Linked DNA regions of Schizosaccharomyces pombe. The protein of the gene in region 2 purifies or fractionates together with the protein of the main gene of each other region. This does not show direct contact. Each region holds a gene or a part of one and is shown on either strand. Other genes may lie near its edges.

What was found.
Region 1: the proteins of tti1 (region 2) and tel1 purify together in Schizosaccharomyces pombe (affinity purification with mass spectrometry, with the first as the bait; one study listed by BioGRID). This does not show direct contact.
Region 3: the proteins of tti1 (region 2) and rvb1 purify together in Schizosaccharomyces pombe (affinity purification with mass spectrometry, with the first as the bait; one study listed by BioGRID). This does not show direct contact.

What each region holds. Positions count from the first base shown.
Region 1 is NC_003421.2:1,272,499-1,279,810, forward strand, and holds the start of tel1 (ATM checkpoint kinase), read right to left. Parts: upstream 5,044-7,312; 5' UTR 4,938-5,043; coding exon 1-4,937. Other genes in the region: pdr16 (sec14 family protein), read right to left, coding at 5,375-7,312. UniProt on the Schizosaccharomyces pombe protein: Serine/threonine protein kinase which activates checkpoint signaling upon genotoxic stresses such as ionizing radiation (IR), ultraviolet light (UV), or DNA replication stalling, thereby acting as a DNA damage sensor.
Region 2 is NC_003421.2:1,418,873-1,429,422, forward strand, and holds tti1 (TTT co-chaperone complex, armadillo-type fold subunit Tti1), read right to left. Parts: upstream 6,996-10,550; 5' UTR 6,975-6,995; coding exon 3,678-6,974; 3' UTR 2,274-3,677; downstream 1-2,273. Other genes in the region: lmb1 (plasma membrane LMBR1-like multi-pass membrane protein, human LMBRD2 ortholog, implicated in signaling), read left to right, coding at 1-111; NADP-specific glutamate dehydrogenase Gdh1, read right to left, coding at 585-1,940; SPOM_SPCC622.14 (GTPase-activating protein), read left to right, coding at 8,226-8,438, 8,760-8,837, 8,916-9,344, 9,405-9,650; SPOM_SPCC622.15C (uncharacterized protein), read right to left, coding at 10,234-10,550. UniProt on the Schizosaccharomyces pombe protein: Component of the TORC1 and TORC2 complexes required for the regulation of the cellular respons to changes in available nutrients.
Region 3 is NC_003424.3:4,921,873-4,928,608, reverse strand, and holds rvb1 (chaperone, AAA family ATPase Rvb1), read right to left. Parts: upstream 4,363-6,736; 5' UTR 4,346-4,362; coding exon 4,202-4,345; exon of another isoform or gene 4,149-4,201; coding exon 2,922-4,148; 3' UTR 2,544-2,921; downstream 1-2,543. Other genes in the region: SPOM_SPAC1B3.01C (uracil phosphoribosyltransferase), read left to right, coding at 691-789, 1,011-1,513, 1,606-1,663; protein Min8, read right to left, coding at 1,737-1,814, 1,880-1,950, 1,999-2,071; SPOM_SPAPB8E5.08 (uncharacterized protein), read right to left, coding at 4,718-5,029; ribosome biogenesis protein Rrp12, read left to right, coding at 5,279-6,736. UniProt on the Schizosaccharomyces pombe protein: DNA helicase which participates in several chromatin remodeling complexes, including the SWR1 and the INO80 complexes.

The sequences.
Region 1 (7,312 bases), 150 kb from region 2:
AAAGAACCTTCCTCAGAAACAAGAGTCTTGAAATCACTATCGTAGATGATACTATCTTTTGGAAAATTTAAAAATTTTCTAAGCTCTTGGTGATTACCATTTTCAAAGAACATCCTAATGCAATCCTCAATGAATGAATCTAATAAAATGTCATATTTAAATAAAAGAGAACATGCTTTTTGACATATCAATTTCCAAATAATAAGTTTTGATTCTTCATAAGTTTTAGTATCGCATAATCGAGGATCGGTTTTGGGTATATAATGATTGAGATCAGCAATTTCCGGAGATTTGAAAAAATTCCAGCCCATGATGTCTGAAAAAAAGAGCTTCAAAGAGTCAGGAAATTCAGTAATATCGTATGCTTTGTAACATTTCCAAATTTCAAGGCTTAAGGAGTGTAAAACATTTCTGGGACAAGCATCGAGGACTTGCCAAAAGTAGAGACAAAGATAATTATTCATTGCGATTCTCTTAAGAAAGTGACCTCTTTCGAACAGTTTATTTGAAACCTCTATCCATTCATTTTTGGTTGTCATCACTGAACGTACAAAGTTTATTTGACAGCGTAAAAATCCATAACCTTCATACTCAAAATTTAGTAAAGCAGTAACGTAACCATCAAACCAAGTATAAAAATCTTGGATAGCCTCCATCTTCGTACCAATAGTGTTGTAGCAAAAACCCAAAAAGTCCATACAGAATTCGGCTAGTTGAAAGAAATAATCAAAATCAGTAGGTTTGAATTTTTTCAAATGAAAGCGCGCAATTCCTAATCCTAGTGATTGGGTACAAGGTATTGAGAGTAATTGTCTAGCTATCCTAAGTACTATCATTACCAAATAGTTTGAAGTGATAAAAGGATCAGAGAAACATAGAAAAGCACACAATCTAAAAGAAATAGTAACTTGAAGTTCTTCATCCGTCGCAAAGTGTAGTTGTATTGCAAGTCTCCTTAAAACTAAATCAATGACTGAAGGGATAGAGGAGAAGCCCTCTAATTCTTGGAAGAGTCTATTGCAATACCATAACACAGATTTTGTAGAAAAGAATGGTATCGCTGTGCTATTGTTAAAAGAGACGCGATTGGCAAAAATTGTTAATTGTGAGTACACCTTAAACGAAGTTGAGCTTATAGATTTAAAAGTAGAGCCTAATTCTTTAACCTCTTTAAGCATCTCTAAGCAGAACAAAAAAGCTTTGGAGCGGTTGAGTAATTCCACATCAAGTGCTTCATCAATAGAATTAAATCTCAACGAATACTTTTTATTCTCTACTTCACTTAGATGAGTATAAGTTGTTATAACAGGGATCAATTGCGTATACTTTTCAGAAAAATCAACAGACATGCGTGAAGTAATGAGTTTAGCCAAGGTTATATTCTTAGTCAGAATAAGAACAAGTATAATTTCGTCGCTGTTTTCTTTTAAAAAATCGGAAAGGCTGAAATAAATTGGTTTGTAGGGGAATTCTAGAAAGTCATTGGTTGTATTAGAAAGATCTTTGCTGACGAATGACCAAAATATCTCTAACCTGTATATTCGAAACAGTTGCTTAATATTTGCACTCTGAATGTGAAGCTTACGAAGCAAAGGTTCAAAAATAGTTGACGTTTCATAGCTGTTTGCAAGCTTAAGCAGCTGATACAACAATGCTGATCGATTGGAACTTATTGACAAAAAAACCTTTAAAGTCAAATATAAATAGCAGAAGCCTTTATACAATGACTTCTCAATTTTAATGCTTAAAATTGGGAGAACAAAACCTTCAATTAACGTTTTATCACATTTTTTAAGAAAAATCACCAAATCGTCAACAAAGTTATAAATAACACAAACATCAGAGTCTTTAAGAGTTAAAGAAATCAATTTTTGATAATCGAATTTTGAATAAACGTGAGATGTAGGGGATAACTGAAATATAAATTTTAAAAAAGTTTGTCTACCAGATAATGATGAAAATTTAGTCTCAATAAAAACCTTTTCAATGAATTTTGTAATCTTCACAATAAGTTTCAAAGTTGCGTCCGTGAACTGAAGTTTAGAATGAACACATTTTTGAAATATTTTAATAAAAATCATTAGATAGACTTCGTCTCTTTCATAATCATAATTCATTAAAATTTTTTGAGCCAGTATTTCAAGACATTTGTAGAAAATAGGTTCGGATGTCCGCGCAACATCTAGGAAATATGCACCAATTGCAGACATACCAAAACAAAAAGTTTCAATGGGATACAAATGAAGAATATTAATTAAGCTGTCATGAGGATGACTAGAAAAGTAGTCGATATATTTTTGTAAAATAAAAAGATCAGTATTCCGTATTTGCTCAAGCGATCCTTCCATCAAACCAAGTATTTGATGATTCCTGATTAAATTTTCTGGCCGATAAATATCTTCTTCCTCCTGGGAGAAATACTCATCGTGATCAAATTCTTGAGGCTTTATGAATACGTTTTTAGAAGCCATATCCATTATATAAAGAACCAAGGTTTTGAGCGGATTACTGTCTCGAAAATGAGTTGAACGAATTAAGTCGCTTCCAATTTCATACCGAAGATGTTTTGGCTCATCAGAAATAGTAAACTGCAAATTAGTAGAGATGCAATTTATTATTGGGTCATAACTGTGATTAGACTTAACGAAAGAAAGGACTTCAGGGAATAAATTTTTAAAAATGACAAGATTGTTAGGAGTAACATTATGAATACCTTTTTTCTGGATAAAACAATTTAGAAAGCCACATAAAAATGATATCTGAGAAAATATCATAACTGCTTCGAAGCTTGGGGTTTCCTTGTCAAGCTCATCTTTGTCATAAGATGCTGAGCTAATTTCGTCTATCGAGCTCTCCAACATTTTAATGACATTTTGCAAACTATCACAGTCAATAGTATGGTTACTATTGAAAGGATAGCATCCTTCTGTAGACTGTTTACATATTTCGTCAGTAGTATAAGGAAAACGAAGCGTAACAGGCGACCATGCTTCTTTGAGGTGAAACAAATTACGTTCGAAAGGTGATCGTATTTCTGTGGTGATATAAGATAATGACAACGGTCTATAGAAGATCATCATTAACAAATCAAAAATGATAATAGAAGAATCGGTAAATGAGAAAAATGGTAGTTCACCCTCTTTGCTGAACAAATGATATAGATGCCACTTCAACCATTTTAGAAACACAGATTTAAAAGAGCTTTGACCAACAAATAGGTTTTCATTAAGTAATATGTACAGAGATTTCCAGTAATCAATGGCTTCATATGAAAGCATTGGCGAGTAATCATTAAATAAAATAAACTGTTGCTTTATGAAAGGAAAAATGCTCGCGAAGCACAAAGGCCGATACATGTTAAAATAAGTTAAAATTTGATAGCATACAGGAGACGTAACAGAATTCAGGAGACCACGAGAAGCAGCAGCCAAAATTTCCTTTTTACATGAAGTCGTAAGCATCGAAGAGTAAGCTTTGTTGTAACAAATGTTGAACAATATAAAAAAAGACCAGCTTTGAAGTTCATTTTTTTTCTCAGTAAAGTTAAGACTCATTTTTTGAATTGACAATAGATCATCGTTTGTTAGATTGTCAGAAATAGCAGTGATAATTACCATGAGTTGCAATGAAAAAGAGGAAGCCGAGATATTGGCTAGCTCAGCTTGCAAAAGCAGTTCCTCTATTTGAGAACATGTTTTCTGCTTTTTGTTGGCTTGCTCCGTGCTTGCTAAGGACAACACGGTTTTTTTGAGGAGAATTAGTTTTGCAAGAAAAAAATAAATAAAGTAAGATTCAAAGAAAGAATTATGTCTAAGAGAAAAAAAAAGGTGTAGCCGTGGATCGTAAAGTTTTGCAATGTTGTTCTTAGGCTCAACTGTATGGAATCTAAAATTCGCAAGCGATAATGAGGAGCGTTTTCCAAAAAAATTTAAGAAATTTTTTAAAGAAAAAAACGAAGAGTTAAGAAGATCTAAATTAAAAGATCTAATGGAACGATGGGGATCCCATGTTTCTGAATTGGACCAAAGTGGATAAGAAATGGCTAAGCATTGTATAAGCTGCAATCTTAAATCCAGACGCTTCCATTTATCAGAGTTTATAAGAATCTTAAAGACTAATAAAACAACGCTTGCGGAATAATCATTACAATTGGGGATCGCATATGCACATAACTGAAACAAACACTGCAAAGCTGGTAGATGCGCATCTGTTTCTTCCGTGTAAGCATAAAAAAAGAACTCAAAAAATTTCAGCAGTTGCTCACTAACAAAATTAATTGGAGCCGCATACCATTGAACAAGAGAACGCATAACGTAAATGAGCTCAACGACTTCTTGCTTTACTCTTATAACATCGTGCGATTTCCAGATAGATATTTCTTGATAGTTTTTTTGGCTTATTGGCTCTTCTTCACTATCACTAACATAAGTTTCTTCAGCTATACTTAGTTTTTCAATAGCTTGACAACAATAGGAAACTAGTGATTGCCAATCCGAGAAACGAAGATGATGCAAATGAGGAGAATGGGATAATAGTAGCCGAAGAGCCTTAGAAAAATTCAAACAGACTACCTCACATATAGAACCATTAGCTGTGAAAGTATGTCTTAGAATTATATCTAGAAGCGCTAAAATATGAGGCTCCCTAAATAATAAAATATAAGATTCAACACATGTTCTTAACAAATAGCTAATATCTTGAAGCTTCTGCTCTTGGGAAGCTTTGGAAATTTGACGTTTACCATGATTAGCAGAAATTTGCCATTCAAGTTCGAATGCTCGCTTTATGGCCTTTTCGATTATTAAAGCATCTTCCTGATTTAGCGAATTTCCATTTCTGGAGTAAATTATGTAGCTGCGAAGATTTTGTAGAGCATCTGATCGTGTTTTGATTTTTGATGAAGACAACTTATTAACGATGTCATTTAGAGAAGTCATAGTATTACATCGAGTAAAAGTTATCTTTTCTTCATTAATATATTAACATATTTGGCGTAAACTGATAATTGAGTAAAAGGTTACGCGTCTCCAACTTTTGGAATTTGGAAGGTTCATTTAGCGTGTACGAATTTTACAGATGCCAAGTTATAAATTGAAGTGTGGTAATTCTTCTTATTGAAACTAAAAAGCACGAAACTATCAACTATATAAGAAAAAAGGAATTAAAACAAATGATCTTCTTTGGAAATATCAATGACTCTACTGTTAGCTAAATATGTACAGTAATAGTGGATTTTCTTTTTTCAGCACCGAATTATTCAAAAGCCCTCTATTAAAAGTTTTCAAGGCTGTAAAAAAAGAAATCATAGAACTAGCTCAATTGCGAATAAAGTATAAGAGAAAAGAGTGAAGAGGTTTCGAGAGCTTAAGAAAAACTATTCTATGCTATCCGCGGTGATAAACGAAACAGCGTCGCTAAATGAAGCCGTAGAAACATCTCGTGCATGCGAAAAAGCTGGTGTTTCTGAAACACCGGAACCAGATTTGGGAAGAAGATCATTCTCGGCATCGAGCCCAGCATCAGCTTTGGTGGATTGAGCAACAGGAATAGAGTCCTCCTTTTTTGTAACAACAGGCGTCGATTCCTCATCTTCAACGATAGAAACAGGCCCCTCATCTTTGACAACGGGCTTAGGATTCTCAACTCGTCTTTTTTGAGGAGAGAGCTCATCAGCACTATTGGTTAAAGTCTTTGGCTGTCTATCAGTATTTACAGTTGGAGTAACAGTTGGAGAAGATGAACGATTTGTCAATGAAGGACGTACATACTGTTGCATTAATTCAACATATTCCTCTCCACCCTTCAAATCCCATTCGCTTGTACCTATTTTAGATCCCATCTTCCTCCATTTTTCCAAGATGCCAAGACGACGTGACTTGCACAATTCCACCAACTGGGGCCAGTACTTCTCATGATGATATTCAAAATGAAGAGATCCACCAAAATTCGAATCTAATTGATCCTTAGGGACATAACGATCCAACGGTTCATTGAACTTTAACTTCTCTCGTGTAATAGGGTCAATAAATGGAGATATCAATTTAAAAAAACCCCATACAGCCCAAGGAATATTAATAACAAGTGCTCTTCCAAGACGCTCACAATAATGAGTTTGCAAAATATTCAGTACCTCTTTACCTTGACCAACGCTGGGATTTGAACGATTGGACGAAGACTTGAAATTAATCAACAAAGCCAATGTCTCTACTCCTGGAGGCATAAGATCAATAGCACACTCCAATGAAAAAACCAGATGCCGAATCTGCAGTGGTGAGGTTTTAGTGTTTTGCCTAGCTGGATATAGGTATAAACAGGGACGACCGTCCTTGTCGTAACCTAGCAATACTTGCTTACCAGTTGCATTCTCCTCTTGGATTTCATCAGGATCCATATTATTAACACCGAAGTGACGACGCCATACCAAAGTATCAACAATACGCTTTTTTGCATTGGAAACGTGCCATTTAGTAGCACGCAAATATCTAAGGATGCATTCGCGTGTTAGCCAAAGACGCTCCAACTCAATCAAATCCGTTTTCTTGCTAGAATTAGACGCTACAGGAATCTCTTTTAATTCCAAACAATATTTAAGTACTTCTTCATACATTTCTTCTTGTTCAGAAGTCAAATTCCGATAAGTGGGAGCCATAGGACAATTTGCATCAGGATAAGGAATTGGTGCATTCCAAGTACCATCAGGATCTAATTCCTTAGGGAACTCAAAAGATGCTTTAGACTTCAAGGCAGGACTGTTCTCATTTGCTTTAATTGGCGATGCTACCGTTGACTTAGTAGAGATAATAGTAGATTTATTAGGAATGTCAAATGATGCAGCTTTTTCTTGAAGCTTTGGAGCAGCTTTAGCAGATGCTGCTGGTAATACCTTATTAGGAGTAGAGGGCGCTGTACTGCTGCGTCCACCTTGGAATTTGGGAGCCACCTTGGGACTCATCGCTGGCAACACTTTACTAGGGGTGGAAGGGGCTGTAACGCTATTGCCACCCTGGAGCTTCGGGTTCATTTTAGGAACTGTACTTGGTGGCACTTTTCTAGGAGTAGAAGGTCGTGTGTCAGATATACTTTCGCTATGCGGTTCCGGATTTACTTTAGGACTAGTGGTAGTTGGCAACGGCTTTCTCGGAGTAGATGATTGTGTCTGAGAGTTTTCTACCAAGGATGCTTTACTGGAATTATCTTGACTTGAGGGATGATCTGAGCCGGATTCTGGAATTTTGTTATCAGTGCTCAACAAGCTTGGGGGGCTATTTTGCACCACCTTCTGTTTATAGAATTGGCTAGGAACGATAGTGTC
Region 2 (10,550 bases):
GATTCATCACTGAATTCAGAAAACGATGATGATCTGTTTAATGAAACCTCGGCTGCCTATTTAGCTGAAGGCAGAGCCCTTCTTTTGGGTACAAATAATGCCCATGTTTAATTTACCGTTATGAGCCCTATGTATTTTAATAATTTAGTCTATTCTTCACATTTTTAACAGCAATTGTTATTTCTCAACTATTTTCTTATACAAGTCTATCATTTACATAACGTTAAAAAATTCTTTTTAGTAAATTCTTCAAAGGATTCTCATAAATAATAATTTCATACAGCTATCAAATACCAGTTAAAATTAATTGAATAAAGGAGGCGCCTTGAGCGGAACTAGAAAATCAAATGATCCTTTTATTACATGAAAAGTCTACATAATTACGGGTACTTCGTATTCGAAGCATCTGTGAGAATAATTCAAAGACTGATTTATTTTTTTTCGTATGCATCATAATCATCTAATAGATTCATAGCTTTTTAAAAAAATTGGTAAAGTAGAAGAGGTACAGAAAAGCGAGTGACTTGAAAAAACATATACAGATACAGTGAATCAAAAATGCCTAAACATTTCACGAATGAAGTCTACCACCAGTCACCAACGGCTTGCATGGCAGTAGCAACCTTCAAGAAACCAGCAATGTTGGCACCATCGACAAGACTGGGAATGTTGTTAGAGCCAGAGTCACAATACTTGGAGGCGACATCGGTGGATTGTTCAAAGATGTTTTGCATAATTCCAGCCAATTTAGCGTCAACCTCGGCATGAGTCCAGGTAGAGAATTGAGCATTTTGAGCCATTTCCAAGCCAGAAACGGCGACACCACCAGCATTGGCAGCCTTACCAGGAGCAAGCCAGCAACCCTCACCAGAAGCACGAGACTTCTCAAAGACTTCAACGGCCTCAGCAGAAGAACCCATGTTGGAGCCCTCAGCAACGTAGCGACATCCTTGTTTGATAAGAGCGGCGGCTTCCTCACCGCTAACTTCGTTTTGAGTTGCACAAGGCAAAGCAATGTCAATTTCACCAACATTAGTCCAGGGACGAGCACCGGCGATGTAGTGATGCTTCTTGCAAAGAGAAGCAGAGTCGGCAATGCTGGCACGCTTCTCCTTTAGAGCCATAATTTCATGGATCTCTTCAGGGACAAGGCCTTCAGCGGTCTTTGCAATTAGGACACCTTTAGAGTCACTGATACTCTTAACAATAGCGCCTTCTTGAATGCACTTCAAGGCAGCATATTGAGCAACGTTGCCGCTACCGGAGATGGCAACACGCTTGCCCTTCAAGGTCTCGGCACCCTTGGTGCGGTGTTCAATCATGTGCTTAACATAGTAAACGACACCGTAGCCAGTGGCTTCAGGACGAATGTTGCTACCGCCGGTAAGCATGTGCTTGCCGGTGACGACACCACTGTACTCATTGCGAAGACGCTTGTACTCACCAAACATGTGCATAACGACAAAACCTGTGACACCAATATCACCAGCCGGTACATCAGTTTGAGGACCGATATAGCGGAAAAGCTGACGCATGAAAGCTTGCGAGAAGCGACGAATCTCGTTGTCGGATTTGCCCTTGGGGTCGAAGTCAGAACCACCTTTGCCACCACCCATGGGAAGGCCCGTCAAGGCATTCTTGAAAATTTGTTCAAAGCCCAAGAACTTGAGGATGCTCAAGTTGACGGAAGGATGGAAACGCAATCCACCCTTGTAGGGGCCCAAAGCCGAGTTGAATTGGACACGGTAGCCGGTGTTAACACGGCAGTTACCTTTATCGTCCTCCCATGTGACGCGGAATTCTAAGACACGTTCGGGAATGGAAATGATTGGAAGCACACGCTTCAACTCGGGATGAACTTCAAAGAGCTTGGAGCTCTCGATGGAGCCCACAATCTCCTTGTAGGCTTGTTGAAATTCAGGTTCGTATGGGGTACTCATGGTGGGCCAAAAAAGTAAACAAAATCGAAGGTAGTGATATAGAGTGTATATCTATATAATAATGATAAGTTTAGAGAATTCGAGATATCAAAAAAAGGCGACCTCGAAAACTTTTAACAATACAAATACAGGCTGTACAATCCAAAGTTCTATACAAATCCGTATTCGACGCCTTCAACGCAAAGACTTTCAAAATTTAACTACAATCCAACAAAACTCTTACAACGTGAGTATGTAAGAGATATCGATCCGGGTTCAAAACGCTTACCAGATGTACCAGTGCAGTGTAGCAGGAGGATTCAGGGACGTGCTGGCCATGTCTGCTATATTTATACACTTAACAAGCAATAATCAACAGTCACACCAGATACCTTGTTTTTTGGGAGACCATACGTTTGCTAATGGCTGACGACTTGCAATAAACCTGATGGAAGAGCGATGGCGGAGATAACAGACGAATAGGATGTAAGTATGATGTCAAAATCTCCAATCACAATGCTCCTATATATCTCTTTTCTCTATAATTGGATAGTGGAAAAGAAGATTACTTAAGCGGAAAATTTCCGATCTGATAAGCCAACCCCCTCACAGAATTCCTTCGTCTCCTGCTCAACCAAATAAAGATAAGATAAGCATTGCTTAATGATTGGTCCGTGCAACGGCTATCACCCACCCTACTGAAAATGTGGGGAAAACGCAGCTCCTCCGGGAAAATCCATGGAATTATAGAAGATCCTTAGTGGGATGGGGTGCTTGGGGGGGGGGGAAAGATGTTTTTAGATGAAAAAAAAATGTTTTAGAGAGGTTAATGTTGTAATATAGAAGATTTTCGCTTTCTGTTGATTAACAGTTTCTATAATTTTTTTAAGAAAAAAAATCTGGAAAAGTCCAAGTCCTTTGTTAATCTAATCTCGTTCCAATCTCTCACATCCATTTAAAGGGTCTATTCTTTACTCCTTTCAGTTGCTGCCCCCTTACTGATAACAAGGATAACTAAGGATAGTACCAAAAGAAAAAAACGCTAAATACTGAAATAGGTCGAATCACACTGAAACGGGTAGGTTCTTCCAGGCAGACCAAATCGCAAATACATATCCGAAAATTCGAGTAAACGGCCTTGCCTCGGTTTTACAGTATGGACTAAACATTCGCTCATCCAAACGTATTGCGCCTTAGCAGCCATAGTCATGACTAGCTTTCAATAGAAAAAAGACAAACGAAACAGAGTCATGAAATTCGTAGCGTAGATGTAAGTTAGAAAAATTTCAAATTTCTTTATTTTTTGGTCTTCTGATAACCCACTATCCCACTATCGTTTGTCCATTTATTCCTTGCCCGATCATGTGGCTGTTTGCTTTGAATCTAAAATTGGATAGAAAATAGTTCATTCGAAAGATTAGCGAAACTACGAAACAAGGTGCGATCGTCGTTGTGCTCGGTAGCAAGATGAGTTTGTTTTTTAGTATAATTTAGGTAGCTGCCAGCCTCGTTTCGTCAACTTAGCTAAATTCGTTGAGTCTGACTCATTGAATGTAGGTAAAATGGCTCATCTAAATCGAAACAAGTTGAATCGAGTACAGCCTTAGTCAAATCAAATAATGCCAAGATGAAAAAAGTCGAGCCTTTGCCAATATAATTTTATGCGATGTAATGGAATTCTTTGCCTGATTTTTAGGCTCTTTGTATTTTCTTTTAAAACACGGAAAATTCTAAAACTGGTAACCACTTTTATTATCGTTAAATGATGGAAATCAATGGTTTTTTAGCTCCTTTTTTCGGTTGATTCAAGTGTAACAAATTGTCCAAAGAAGGGAGTGGTTCCTCTTGTGTCTCGGTTTTCCCGCTGCCTTGTTGCCCAAGCAAATCATTGAAAACAGTCTCCGACGTCTTTGCTCCGACAGGTTCCAAAACTTCATGTGTTCGGCGATATGTACGTTGAACACGTTGCTTTCCCGGAATTAACAATTCAGTAGAGAAAGTGTCAATCATTTGAGACCCTCGAACTTCTCTCTCATAATACACTGCGTCGGGATTTTGCTTGGAAAATGCGTTCCAAGTTTCTTCCACCAATGATTCATCCCCCGCATACTTTTGAGACATGTGAGTAATGGCTCGTATGATGGGTGCCGTTATCCCCATAAGCTTCAAATACACTACAATGCTCAATTTGTTAGCCACACATGCTGAAGTTACTTTTAGCATTGCCCTTTGCAAACGATGCTCACTAGAATATGTTCGAGCAACATTGAAAAGATGCCAACGTTGGCACAACGTCTCCAATCGTGGAAGCAAATCTTGGCGAATCCTAGATGTCATAAAATCATCTGCAAGGGCGCAAACTTGATATATAGTTTCTAATGCGCATTCTACTAGCAGTTCGTTATCCGTGTCAAGCTGAATAACGACCAATGGCCAAAATGTATTAATAGCAGGATAAAATGTGTTTGGCTCCTTAGCCAAAACATTGCTTCCATAGCTCAACAATTTTAACATTTCCACTCGTATCGTAATTTGTTCATGTGATAAGAATAACTGCGCCTTTTCCGTGATTTTCCTTACCATATCGACGACATCATCTTTTTGCTTTTCTCCTTGTTCGTCCATAACATTACTATTTATGTTTTCATGATCAACTGTGGTCTCACCCATATTTTCATTTTCTTTGCCCTTCTTTTCTTTTTCCTTCATTGCATGTTCGCGAAACTGTTCATGTCCACTTTTCGTTTCTTGTTGTTCATCGTGTATCATATCCTCTAGTTCATGATCATCTTTTGGAAGAGGATAATTAGGGTTCTCTAATAGTAGTTGAACGAATTCGCGAATCTTTTTACATGGCTTATTTTTATCCTCGTTCATTGCGTCCTCCTCCACCCCGACGATGAGCTTTTTCTCCTCGCCATTTATACTTTCTTGCTTTATTATGGCATAAAGAATTCCAAGCAACCCTTCTGTAAGCCGTGCGTAACCATGGTAAGCATCCAAAATCCCAAAAATAGCATCCACTACATCTCCAATGTACCGAATGCATCCTCCATCGTCATTCTTTATTACATAAGCCATCACAATTGGAAGTTGAGGTGATACGTCTAATGTGTTCAATTTGAGGGCAACTGAGTTGACCACATAGTCAATATTTTCTCTAAGTAACTCTGCTGGCGTCGAGTAGTTGCAATTTGTCGCAATTGCTTGAATACATGCCTCTGCAAACGAAGATACATAAGGAGAAGCAAACGCCAAATGTTCAAGGAGAGGATAAAAATATGCCATTAATTTTGATCGAAACTTTACTCCTTGTAAAGAAGAAATCCAGCTAATGCTGTCAATAGCAATGCAAGAACGAACACACAAAAGATTATACTTTTCCTTTTTCTGCTTATCCTCCAACGATGCTTTCGTAAAGACATTTAATTGCGATAATTGTTGCAATACTTCGAATGAATATTGCTCTAATGAATCAATATACATTTCCAAACTGTCCACCGTTTCTACGTCACTTTTCAAAAGTACCATAAATGCCCAAAATGCACGAACCGAGTTTTCATTTGTTGCTGAGGTAGCCTTAGAAAGTAAGGACTGCATAACATATTTAACATTAGGTGCCTTTGCGAAGCTTGTAACAATCTCTTGTGTTGTTCTTTCCATCTCATTTCCACCAAAAAATTCACCATGGATGTACTCATTCGAAGTACTGGATGTTAAAAGCTTCTGCGAATTGGAATCAATTCCCGATGACTTTGGTACAAGTTGGCTGAGTATACCATCCAGTAAAGGCTCCATGAGCTGCAAAGTCTTAGGAAGATGACTGGATATACTTAAGAGACTTTTCAATCGGTTCAACTCCTCCAATTTATTATCTTCTGAAGCAAAAGTGGAAACACTAGACCATGTAGTAGACCAATCATTTAGGCATTCAGTTAATACTGATTCCATAGTAATATTGTTGAATGATTCAATGAGAGAAACGAGTTTGTTCATCCCATAGTCCCTTAATTTTGGATTTTCTTTTTTATTGATCAATTTTAGCATGCTCTCTAGTAAATGAATCCTACAATCTTTTAGTGAATCTAAACAATCTCTAAATAGGATAAAGCAAAAATCAAATAAAGCATCTTGTACATGTAAGTTTTGTGAAGAACGAAGGTGAAGAATTGCCTTGACGGCATTGCTTAATTGTTGGCAGGTAGCGCGTTTCCAAGACTTTGTACGCTTCGTTGGGCCAAAAAAATGAGAATTAGAAGAAGCATCTTTTTCATCTGGCAAATCTTTTGTGTTATCGTCACTAATAGCTTTCACCACTGTATCACCTAAAATATTCAAAGAGATACACACGTTTTTAAAATACTGACAGGTTCCATTTGGCGCCAGTCCCTTTGTCAATCCCGATACTATGCCAGGAAGAAAAGTAGTAAGAAATTCTGTTGGTAAGCGATATTGCTTTGGGCATATTAGCTTTTGGACGCAACACAATGAGGCAAACTGTAATCTCCGTGAGCTATTTTTATTTGGAATAATATCCAAAGCACTAGAAAGAGCTCTCGCAAAGAGAAGATACTGTCTTTTATCGTGAAAATTAGGCTTAAAATCTGTAATAACGTTCTCAAGCGTTTCGAAAGTAATTTCTCGAACACGAAAATCTTGTTCCACAGTTTCCGAAGGAGATTTCCATCCATCTGCTATATTAAGAAGCATCAATAATAGTTGCATCGTCAACATTTCATTATGAGCTTCCCTCCAACCATGCTTGTAAAGCAAATTCACGCACTGAATGGCATACTCCACTCCTGTACTTGGGACACGATACCAGGACTTTAGTACAGGTACAATTGGAAAAAATATGTAATCGCATAAATTTAGTGGTAAATCGGCGTCTGTATTGGTCAATGCTTTTTCCAGCCCAAAGTACGCATCCTTCAACGAGTTCTTTAACCCATTGGAGTCAACAGATGAAGTTTCAGAAGATAGAGGAAGAGAATAGAAGCTTAACTTTCGAAAAGGATCTCGAATTTGTGCGAAAATACTCTGTATATGAGACATGTAGAGAAACCATGAAGTTATAGAGATGGTAGGTCATATACAAGCAAACCATTTAAAAATGCATACTTTTGCGATTGGAAATGTATATGATATTACAGTATTCTCTAATAAATAATTCAATATTATTCAAATGATTTGAATATTTAATGTCGTGCTAAATTATAGCAAGTGTTTTGACTAGATGCACAGCCAATTCCCAGTCGGTTTTCGTGAGAAACATTGAAAATATTTAGCAAAATGAGTTGCAATGATTTGACTTTGTTCTTAAAAACTTGGAAAGATATATTGCAAAAAGCTGCAAGTTTTAGGGTTACATTCAAGTTCTTACTGATGACCATTACTTTGATCTCAACTAAAATTTTAAATTAAAGAGAGAATTTTTGAAGCTATGCAATTACAATAATAATAACTTCGTAGCCTTTCAGCCTTTTAGCGTATCTGTTTACATTGAATTAAAAACTCGATAGTATTATTTTATATTTTTTAATAAACATTTTAACGTGTGTGTCGAAAGACATATATATAGTATAAATAATTTGTAGCTCAAATTACTTTGCTATGCAGACTAAGACTGGTTTAATGTGTGCAATGGAAGTAGTGGATGTATTCACTCAAATTTATAAGGGTATAACCTTTTTACTAGTCTAGTTTTGTAGTTTCAAGCTTCTAGTCCTCTATAGTCCTTAAAAAAGTCGTTAAGTTCATAAAGACGATACAACTTAAGAGGTAGCCAACTCATAAGAGATTTTCTGCTACATACCTTTAACAAGCGAGGAACACAGTAATTTCTGAATTTCTATTTGTAGTCAAAAATCACTGAATTATCAGTTTGTTTCAAAAACGAGAGGATTGTTTAAACTAATTTGCATTTTCTTAAACCAAACTTATTGTAACTTGAATAATCTCTTTAATCTATTTATTTTGAAGGTCAATGAACTCTTAGACAGATATGAAAATTGCTCAAAATAATACCGTAAGCTTTCCAAGAAACTAGATGCTGGTATTTTAAACAGTATGGATCAAAAACAAGAAAAAGTTGAAACTCATAAATGCATTCAACTGCACGACATATTTATTTCCTTCATGTTTTGATTTTATATACTTGGAATACGTTTCACCAGATCTTTAACGTTTTCTTACGCACTTCCATAAAATCTCACACCATGGTGAGACATGAAAATAACGAAATTTCAAAGTCACTTAGAACAAACTACAATTAATGAGTTGGTTGTTTAAATAATCTAATAAAAAATGTCGTATAAATTAGACCAACTCACTCGTCTTCCTGAAAACAAGAAATGTTTTGATTGTGATGCTCCAAATCCACAATGGGCATCTTGTAATTTGGGAATCTTCATTTGTTTGGATTGCAGTGGACAGCATCGTGGTTTGGGAGTCGAAAAGAGCTTTGTCCGCAGTATTACCATGGACAATTGGAGTGAACGTCAAGTGAAGATGATGGAGGTAAGCATCAGGATTGATACGGGCTATTGGAGTTTGTTGGTTATTTTACCAAAAAAAAAACATATATATATAATAATTCATTTGGCTGAGAGGGTAGCGCTATTGATCTGCGAGTTTGCTTGCCGCTATTTCGAATTTTTTCCAAGTCATTTAGTGCCTTTTTTTGACAAGAATAATGTTTAATGTTAAAAACAAGTACATGACGCGCAATTGATTATCACCTGAAGTTATAAAATGCAAGCTCACTATAATTTCATCAATGACTTGAAACAACATATATAGCCCACATTTGTTGCATGCTCCTGACTAACTTCTATACAGGTTGGTGGAAATTCTAATGCTAAAACATTCTTGTCTACAGACCCGATGTTTTCTGCTGCCGGAAGTATTCGTGAAAAAGTATGATCTTTGAACCTTCTATATTTTTTCCAGTTTACCTTATTTTGATTTTATTCACATTGACTAACACATTTTAAGTACAATACCGACATTGCTGAGGACCTACGACAAAAAATTCGTGCCGAAGTAGATGGTGTCGAATGGGTCAAAGTTGATCGTCCTAAGAGCGTTTCCTCTCATGCTTCTGTAACTTCATCTTCAACTGTTCCAACTATTCCATCAGTTTCAAAAGAAGCAAATGATAAATATTTTGCAAAGCTTGGTTCCATTAATTCCCAACGCCCTGATGATTTACCCCCTTCACAAGGAGGTCGCTATCAAGGGTTTGGAAGCTCTAACTCTGTTAATCCCAATTCTTCTGCTAGAAATAACGGTGGCTCTTTTTTGGACCAATTATCATCTAATCCTGTTTCTGCACTTAGTCATGGTTGGAACATGTTCTCCAGATCTGTTTCCCAACAGATTCAAGACGTAAATAAGTCCTATATTCAGCCAGGGATTACAAAGGTACAAACATTTTATTGTATCCAAAAAATAAAGTTTCTGTTGTACTGACTCTGTTTTTAGGTTCAAGATCCCGAAACAAGGAAGGATTACATGAATGCCATTAATAATTTCTCTAGTAACGTTCAGGAAGGTGCTAAGCAATCATTTACACAACTTAAATCCTTTTTGGATGAAAATGTATATTCCGAAAACCCCCAAAACACCCGCGGTACTTATGATGCGGAAATCGACTCTCCTTATTCAGCTCTCGCTGCCTCTCCTCCACCTGAAGACTATTCGAAAAAGAATTTCGATAAGCACGATTGACTTTTTTATTATTAAACTCGTAAGCAGTTTGATATGTTTCATTGCTGTTAGGAGTGCCTCGTCTATCAAGCATTCGTCAGCTAAAACATAAACGAAGAACGCTACCGATAAAAAAAATATTGCTACTTCATTAGAATTATCTGACATTTGAAGCTTCTTCAAGTATAATACATGGGGAACTGAAAAAAAAAGTTTGTATATATTGAAGACGGAGTCTTCTTGTTTATTTCTGTTACAAAAGTTTCATCGTTTTAGGCTTATAGTTCAAAACAATGAAAAAAATGATAATAACATATTTTATTTTCATTAGCATAAGTTGAATGCCGGCTAAATTTTAAGAAGATAACCGGATCATGTGCTTTCTTGAATAAAACCAATGACTTTTTTCTTTTTTAGTCGACGATGCCTAATCGGTATGTAGAGTGGATTTTAAAAGAAAACAGGAAAGACGAAGATATGAGGATATAGGCATTGCCGGTCATTTTCCAAAACAAAAATGCTGGTCATAACATAATTAAATCAAAATGCTTAAAAGCTCAATGATAAAAATCATTCTAACAAAAGACAATAAGTCATTGACCCATCAAATATGGTCATAAGGCGCACTGCCTCCAGTGTCTAAGTTAGACAACGGCTGGCTAGTAGCATTGGCTGATTCGTTACTAACTGGTACGTAATACTGATTTGGGTCATAGTAATAAACGAAACCGAAGGGGGGAGTTGAGACCTGACTAGCAGGTGAATAAGATCGTAAAGTATCGGCAGCAGGATTGGACATTACATTCATATCACTGCCAGAAAATGGAGGAGGCATATAAGGATAGACCGCGGGAACGGTGGAATCATAATTTTGAGGAAACGACCAGTAAGTCGGCATAACAGAGTAGGATTGATATGCAA
Region 3 (6,736 bases), on a different chromosome or scaffold from region 2:
TATCTTGCTCATTGGCAAGATAGCCATTTCATTGCTTTGTTTTTGGTTTGGTAGAATCGCTGTTCACTATGACAGGCTAAGAATTACGAGTGCCTAGAGTGTGGTTGACTTCGACCTTGTACTTATTGTATTCTCCATGTACAAAAAATGTCTAGAATGAAAGAGATATGAAAATATGTTCATGTGTTCTTACTGCATTTGATTTAAAAATCCTTACAATACAACTCATTTCTTGGTTTCTTGTGAATACAGTTGGATGAATTGAGAATTACAAGTAAAAAACATTGAAATCCAATTAAGATTGTAAGCTGCATGGAGTCCAATTGTATGAATGTGTGCTTCAAAAATTTGTACTGTCTTTCTCATTCTTAAATATAAGCAGTAATTCATTTAAAAACATCAACTTGCCCTAAAATATGTTCAATAGTTAATTGATATTCTTATTTAATTTTGCCAAGCCTGCTAGAGTAGAAATCTTTTACTGCGCTAAGTAACGCATTAATCATAATTATGTTATTATGAAATGATGTTGTAAATCTTTATTTATGTTTAACGAAATATACTAAGGTTGATAAAACTCATTTTGCTATTGATAGCTTAAAAGCAAATGTGTTATTGTGCTTTTACTTTTTACCATTTACTTGGTAAACAACTTGATAGGTAGATATTTAAGCATACATCGTCAAAAAGATGTCGCTGGTACCTGAGCATGGAAATGTGTACGTACTAAATCAGACAAATCAATTAAAAGGGTTGTTTACCATCATTCGTGATAAAACGAAACCTCGTGTATGCGCGTTCAGTTTACAACAGATTACTGAGTCAAGGTCTAAGAACTAATTGAAATGAATGTGTTAATATGTCCAAGAAATTTTAGCTTTTTCCTCTATTAATGGGGAGATAAATGTTTATCAGTGGATGATAGGAAGCATTCATTATCAGTTAGTACATTCGACAACTTCTCGTGTATTCTTTGTTGAATCTGTTATCCCTGCTAACATGATATTTAGTCTGAATTTATTTTTTATGCCAATAGAATCATTCGTTTAATTGTTGAAGAGGGCCTCAACCACTTGCCAGTGTCTTCAGCTAAGGTAACGACTGCTCAAAATGCTGAATACGAGGGTGTAATGTTTGATGGTCGTATTTGCGGCGTTAGCATTATGAGAGCTGGCGAAAGTATGGAACAAGGATTGCGTGAATGCTGTCGTTCTGTTCGTATTGGAAAAATTTTGATACAGCGTGATGAGGAAACTCATAAACCTGTGTTACACTACATCAAGCTTCCCGAAGATATTTCTAAACGCTATGTCTTACTTTTGGACCCCATGCTAGCCACTGGTGGCTCTGCTATTTGTGCTATGGAAATTCTTATCAACATGGGTTGCAAACAAGAACAAATCATTTTCCTCAATGTAATTGCCTCGCCTGAAGGGTTGAAAAATGTTCACGATCGTTTCCCCAATATACGTATAGTTACCGCCGTAATTGATGAGGGACTCGACAACAATGGGTATGTGCACGATACACTACAAGTGTTCATGAGGTCAATACAAAGTTGATCGCTATTTCATTCATGAATAATCTTTAACACATATGATTTAGATACATTGTTCCAGGTCTTGGCGATTTTGGAGACATTTACTTTGGAACGAAGGCCTAAAGTTGCTTTGAAAATTTGCTCAATTAAACACACAACCACGCACTAAACATTAAAAGACTAATTTTAACAGCACTTAATGAAATTGCGGTTTCTTAACTTTTGTCTCTTCTTTTTGTTGTGTTTGTGCTACCCAACTTGGTGAGCGTCGAATCTGTAAATATAGGTCAGTGGCCGTTGTTTAAATAGTAATAGAAGTTTGGAAATAATTGTACATACTTCAGGATCAGAATAAATCTTATATCCCATGGTAAATATTGCAGTGGACCCAGCAATTCCAATGAGGATTGCTAAAATTCGTTAGTGATTTGACAAATTCGGTTTTCTCAGTAACTAACCCAGAGGTTTGAGCTCAAAAGGAAGCCTTTGAAAGGCCCTGTAAGGTTTCATAATTCTTGATAAAACTGCCATTTGTACACTTAATAGTTAAGCATTCAAAGTCTTCTCTTCAACTTATATTGGGTTGCCCTTCCTCCTGGTCTCGTCATTATTGCTTTACTTTGGCCACACTTATGTAAAGTGGTATATTGACGAACTAACGAGGCATATTAATATATCATAACAAACGGGGTTGCTTACTGTGCGCTAAGAGTACTGTGTGTGTTGATAAAATTGCTCAATCGATGGTGTTGCAATGTAAATAATCAATTTCTAAAATGACGACGAAACAGTTATCGCAGATGGGGAATTTTTTTTCCGCGTATTACAAATGTTGTATTACTCTTTTTGTCTATCATGCTTTATGAAGTTACTGTTGAAGTTTTTTGCCTGTTATTCGTTCTTTAGCACTTGCTTATCTCAAGTGGCAGCTTGTCCTTTCGTGGAAGTAGGAATCAAAAATGAACAGAAGATTTATAAATAGCATTCAACTCAAATTTAAAAAAAAAAAAAAAAAAAAAAAAGAACTCACCTTCTTATAATATTTTAAGTTTATTTACAGAATGATTGCAGCTTTTGCAAAGTACTTCATACAGTCTTTCCATGCATGTAAAAAAACCCTAGGAGGTATTGAATTCTAAATAAATTCATTGATCCTGACTTTTATTTAGGTATTCATAAATGATTACAGTATAAATAAATGCCGGAATGGAAGGAATATAACTGGATAAAAAAAAGAAGAAATTGGTTAAGCTTAAAAAAAATTTACAAGTTTATAAATAAAAAGGTATATATATTCACAACCTGTGTAAATCTAGCTAGTTTCGCATATAACCAAAAAGTTGAAATAAGTAAGGGTAGATCGTTATTAAGGATAATATTTTTATTGAAGGAAGCCTGAAGATGATTTAACAACTTGAGCGGAGCGGCGAGCATCTAAGAAAAGATCGTTACATTCTTCGATATCTTGTACACCAATCTCTTTGTTACCATGCAAACTGGCAATAATGCTAACGGGTGTCAACAGTTGTATAACATAACGGAGACTAGTACGAGAACCTTCTTGAGCCAGCTTGTCCAAACACTCATCAGTAAGGATGATGTTTTCAACTTTTGCACGTATCTGCAAAATGGAACGAATTTCTGACTCTGAATAGGGGAGTGTGCGAACTATTAGTAATCTGTCAAGCAAATCCGTAGGAATACCATGGGGAGCTTGAATATCCTCAGTACCCCGAATGGTACAAATGCCTCGATTAGAGGCAAAGATAACAATAGGAGAAATAGTGCTTTCTAGGGCTTGGTTGAGATAAGTAAAGCACTCAATGTCTAACATATGAACCTCGTCGATGAACAAGACACCAGGAATAAGTTCAGCGATTCCTTGTTCGATATATTTGTTGACAACCTTGTTAATTTCACCACGAAGCTTATCGGTGATTTCAGTTTTCTTGGGCTTCATTAACTGACCCATCATAGACATTATATCTTGTCCTCCTTGAGGGCGGGCATTGGCAATATCCAAATCATGAAGAGTCACGTCCTGAACAATTTCTTTCCGCTTGTGTACCTCACCTTTAGGCATAGGAACATATTCTTCCGCTTCTAAATCGAACTCCGTAGCATACGCATCGCTACGACCCACTCTCTTTACGGCACCTGTATTGGCTTCTATGTAAATAACGTCCCCGGTTGACACTTGTTCTCTTTGTAAAGATTCGTAAATGCTAGGATCTAATTTGAGCTGTTTGGTACCCTTATGCGTTTTGAGGCCCAAAAGGACGTGTGAAATGGTTTTTCCATAACCGCCCAAAGGATTTTCGGCTTCTTCGGGAACCATTTCTGTAACCTCACCCTCATACACTTCTTTTGTTTCCTTTACCCGAAGACCAATGGCCCTTCGAAAGTTTTCCATTAAAGCCTCAGTTTTCTTTATTTCACTAGAGTAGACTTCACTTCCCACCATAGGACAAAAAGGAACTTTAGGACCAAGTTCTTGGGCAATCGCCAAGGCCAGTGCTGTTTTACCAGTACCAGCACCTCCAGCGAACAATACACCTTTACCACCAAATTTTTTAGACTTGATTAAATCAGTGATGATGCCACAAGCCTAAGAAAATATATTAGAATACATTATATTAAAGAATTATCAGGAATGCTTACCTCACGAGCCTTTTCTTGTCCAATGAAACCTCCACCAACAGATTCACAAGTTCCATCTTCTTTTAGGCCTAAACCTTTGATATGTGAATGTGTAGTAATCCTATTATCACGGCCATTTCCCTTAACCTCGCTGATTTGGACCATTTTATAAGTAGTTGGTTGAGGATAGCTTGCTTTCAAAATGTGACATTAGGGTTGGGTGTAGCAAAATAGTACCAAGTTAAATAAGAAGAAAGTAGAGCTGAGGTAATGAAAAAGACAGGAAATGAAATAATAAAGCAAAGAGGTGTATTCTTTCTTTAAAAAAAAAAATTAAACAGAAATTAACAATCGATTTTTGAGGAATTCTATTTTACTGTATATGATGCAAAAAAAATAGTAACTAAAACTGTTATAACGAGTACTTAAGTAATAAACGCAAATACATCTAAATGTTTTCAAAAAGTTATTCTTGATTTATTAATGAATTATAATTTTCTTATTTACATACATCCCATATGTTGATTAACTACCATCCTAGAATAGCGATATATATTTAAATAAATACGGTGAGCATAAAAACGAATAAAAAAAAAAATATATATATATATATATTGAAAACTTGTTTGGATTGCTTAATCCGATGCTACTACTGTTTCGCTGATTTTTTCTTCTGCTTTTTTTATTTTTAATCTCCGGGCAATCTGTAATCCTTCGATAGGTTTTGTAGTGCTTAAACGCTCGCTCATTTAAGATACAATAAAACATAATTTTATTAGCGACAGATAAATAAATGAATATAAACGGTAATAACTTGGGAATCATTTGTTTACATCTCAATTTTCTCATGTACCAGGAAAATACCCGCAATTCCGTCTAGCAACAGCGAATTAATGTTTATCAATAAATTTAAACTTAACCTGCCACACATCGTGATCCATCAAAAGATTGGTAAGGAAATTTCCTAATTTCACAATCTTTTTTCGCCAAACAAATAACGATGTGCAATGCACTGCGAACATATCTGTGAATTTCGCACTGATGTGGAGTTGTCTTTCACACCATCCTACAGGGAAAGTTTGGGCAGGTTAAAAATTCATGGCTGAAGTGAATGAACCATTGCAAATTGAACTTCGAAAGATTCGAAACAGCTCCACTGCAGGTGTCATAAACGAATTCGATGTAATCGTTAGTGCAGTGGAGGGGACGTTGAAGGAGCAAAAAACTGAGGCGACACCAACTGCTTATTTGGTGGCCCTTCTAACTTTAGTTAAGGAATTCACGGACTTAAAGAAAAATTTTAAGGGACACACGTTTCAACTACTGGAATTGGTTATTAAGTATGTGCCCTCTAATGTTCTGCAAGCAAAATTTCCCCAGATCTTGTCTGTCCTTGCTCCAGTTGTAAATAATGCAGAAACCAATAAAACCGTCCTTCTCCCCTATCTTAATGTTTTGGAGAAGCTTTTACTTCTTCAGGATTATAGCTCTTGGACTCATGGCAATTCTTGCAAAACTTCTATCTATATTTTATTATTCTTTGCATTGTCCAATACTGAGAAGACGAGAGTACGTTCTTTGCAAATTCTGGCCAACATATTAAAAAATCCTCCGGCAGGTCCTGTAACGGAGCATCCTGCTATAAAATATACTGCATTCGAGCCACTTCGTCTTTTGGAGTCGCTCGCTACTGCCAAAAAGCCCAAAACTCCTGCAGAAGTCCAAAAGCTTAATAATAGTTTGGTTCTTATTCGTGTGCTTTGTTCTTCTACACATTGGCCAATGACTCTCGTCGAAAGGCTATGTAGGTCCTGCGTATTAATTGTTGGACAACGAAGCACAAATTCCATTCTTCTTGTTTATCAAATTTTGGATGGGTTGTCAAAAAAATCAGTGGATTATACAGATGCTGTTAGTCTACGAATGACTCTGATTTGTTTGCAAAAATTGGAGCCATCAGAACACGATCCGATTCTGATGGTAGGCTGGTTGAAGGCCATGAATACGGCCATTCGCGCCTTTAATATTTTAGACAAGGAGACTGCAAAATATGAATGCCTTCATAGATTTAAAGCTTTCTTTACTTTGTTGGAATCTGAATCGATGGAGATTCGCTTGCAAACGGCCACCACAATTTGTTCTGTAATTGGTTGTTTGGACACTACTCCAAATTCATTTGCCGTTGTCGAAGAAATCTGTTCCTTTATTTGTGATGCATTAAGGGATATTCGTTTTCGTCTTGCTTACCCAGAATGCTTTCAGATTATCTCTTCTTTGTGTGACAAATTAGGTCCTCATTCAGATCCCTATTTAATTCCAGCCTTGGAGGTCATTGATTACCTTAGGGGATCGGAAGGGTTTGATGGAAAGGCACTGGTTGATGAAGCCATTGGCTCCTTTGTTCGTGCAATTGGTCCCGAAGCCATGTTACGTGTTCTCCCTTTGAATTTGGAATTGAACGATAAGGATGCCGTTGGGCGCGCGTGGCTTCTTCCCGTTTTGCGTGACAATATTCGGTTTGCTAATTTAGCCCATTTCACTAATTATTTTGTCCCT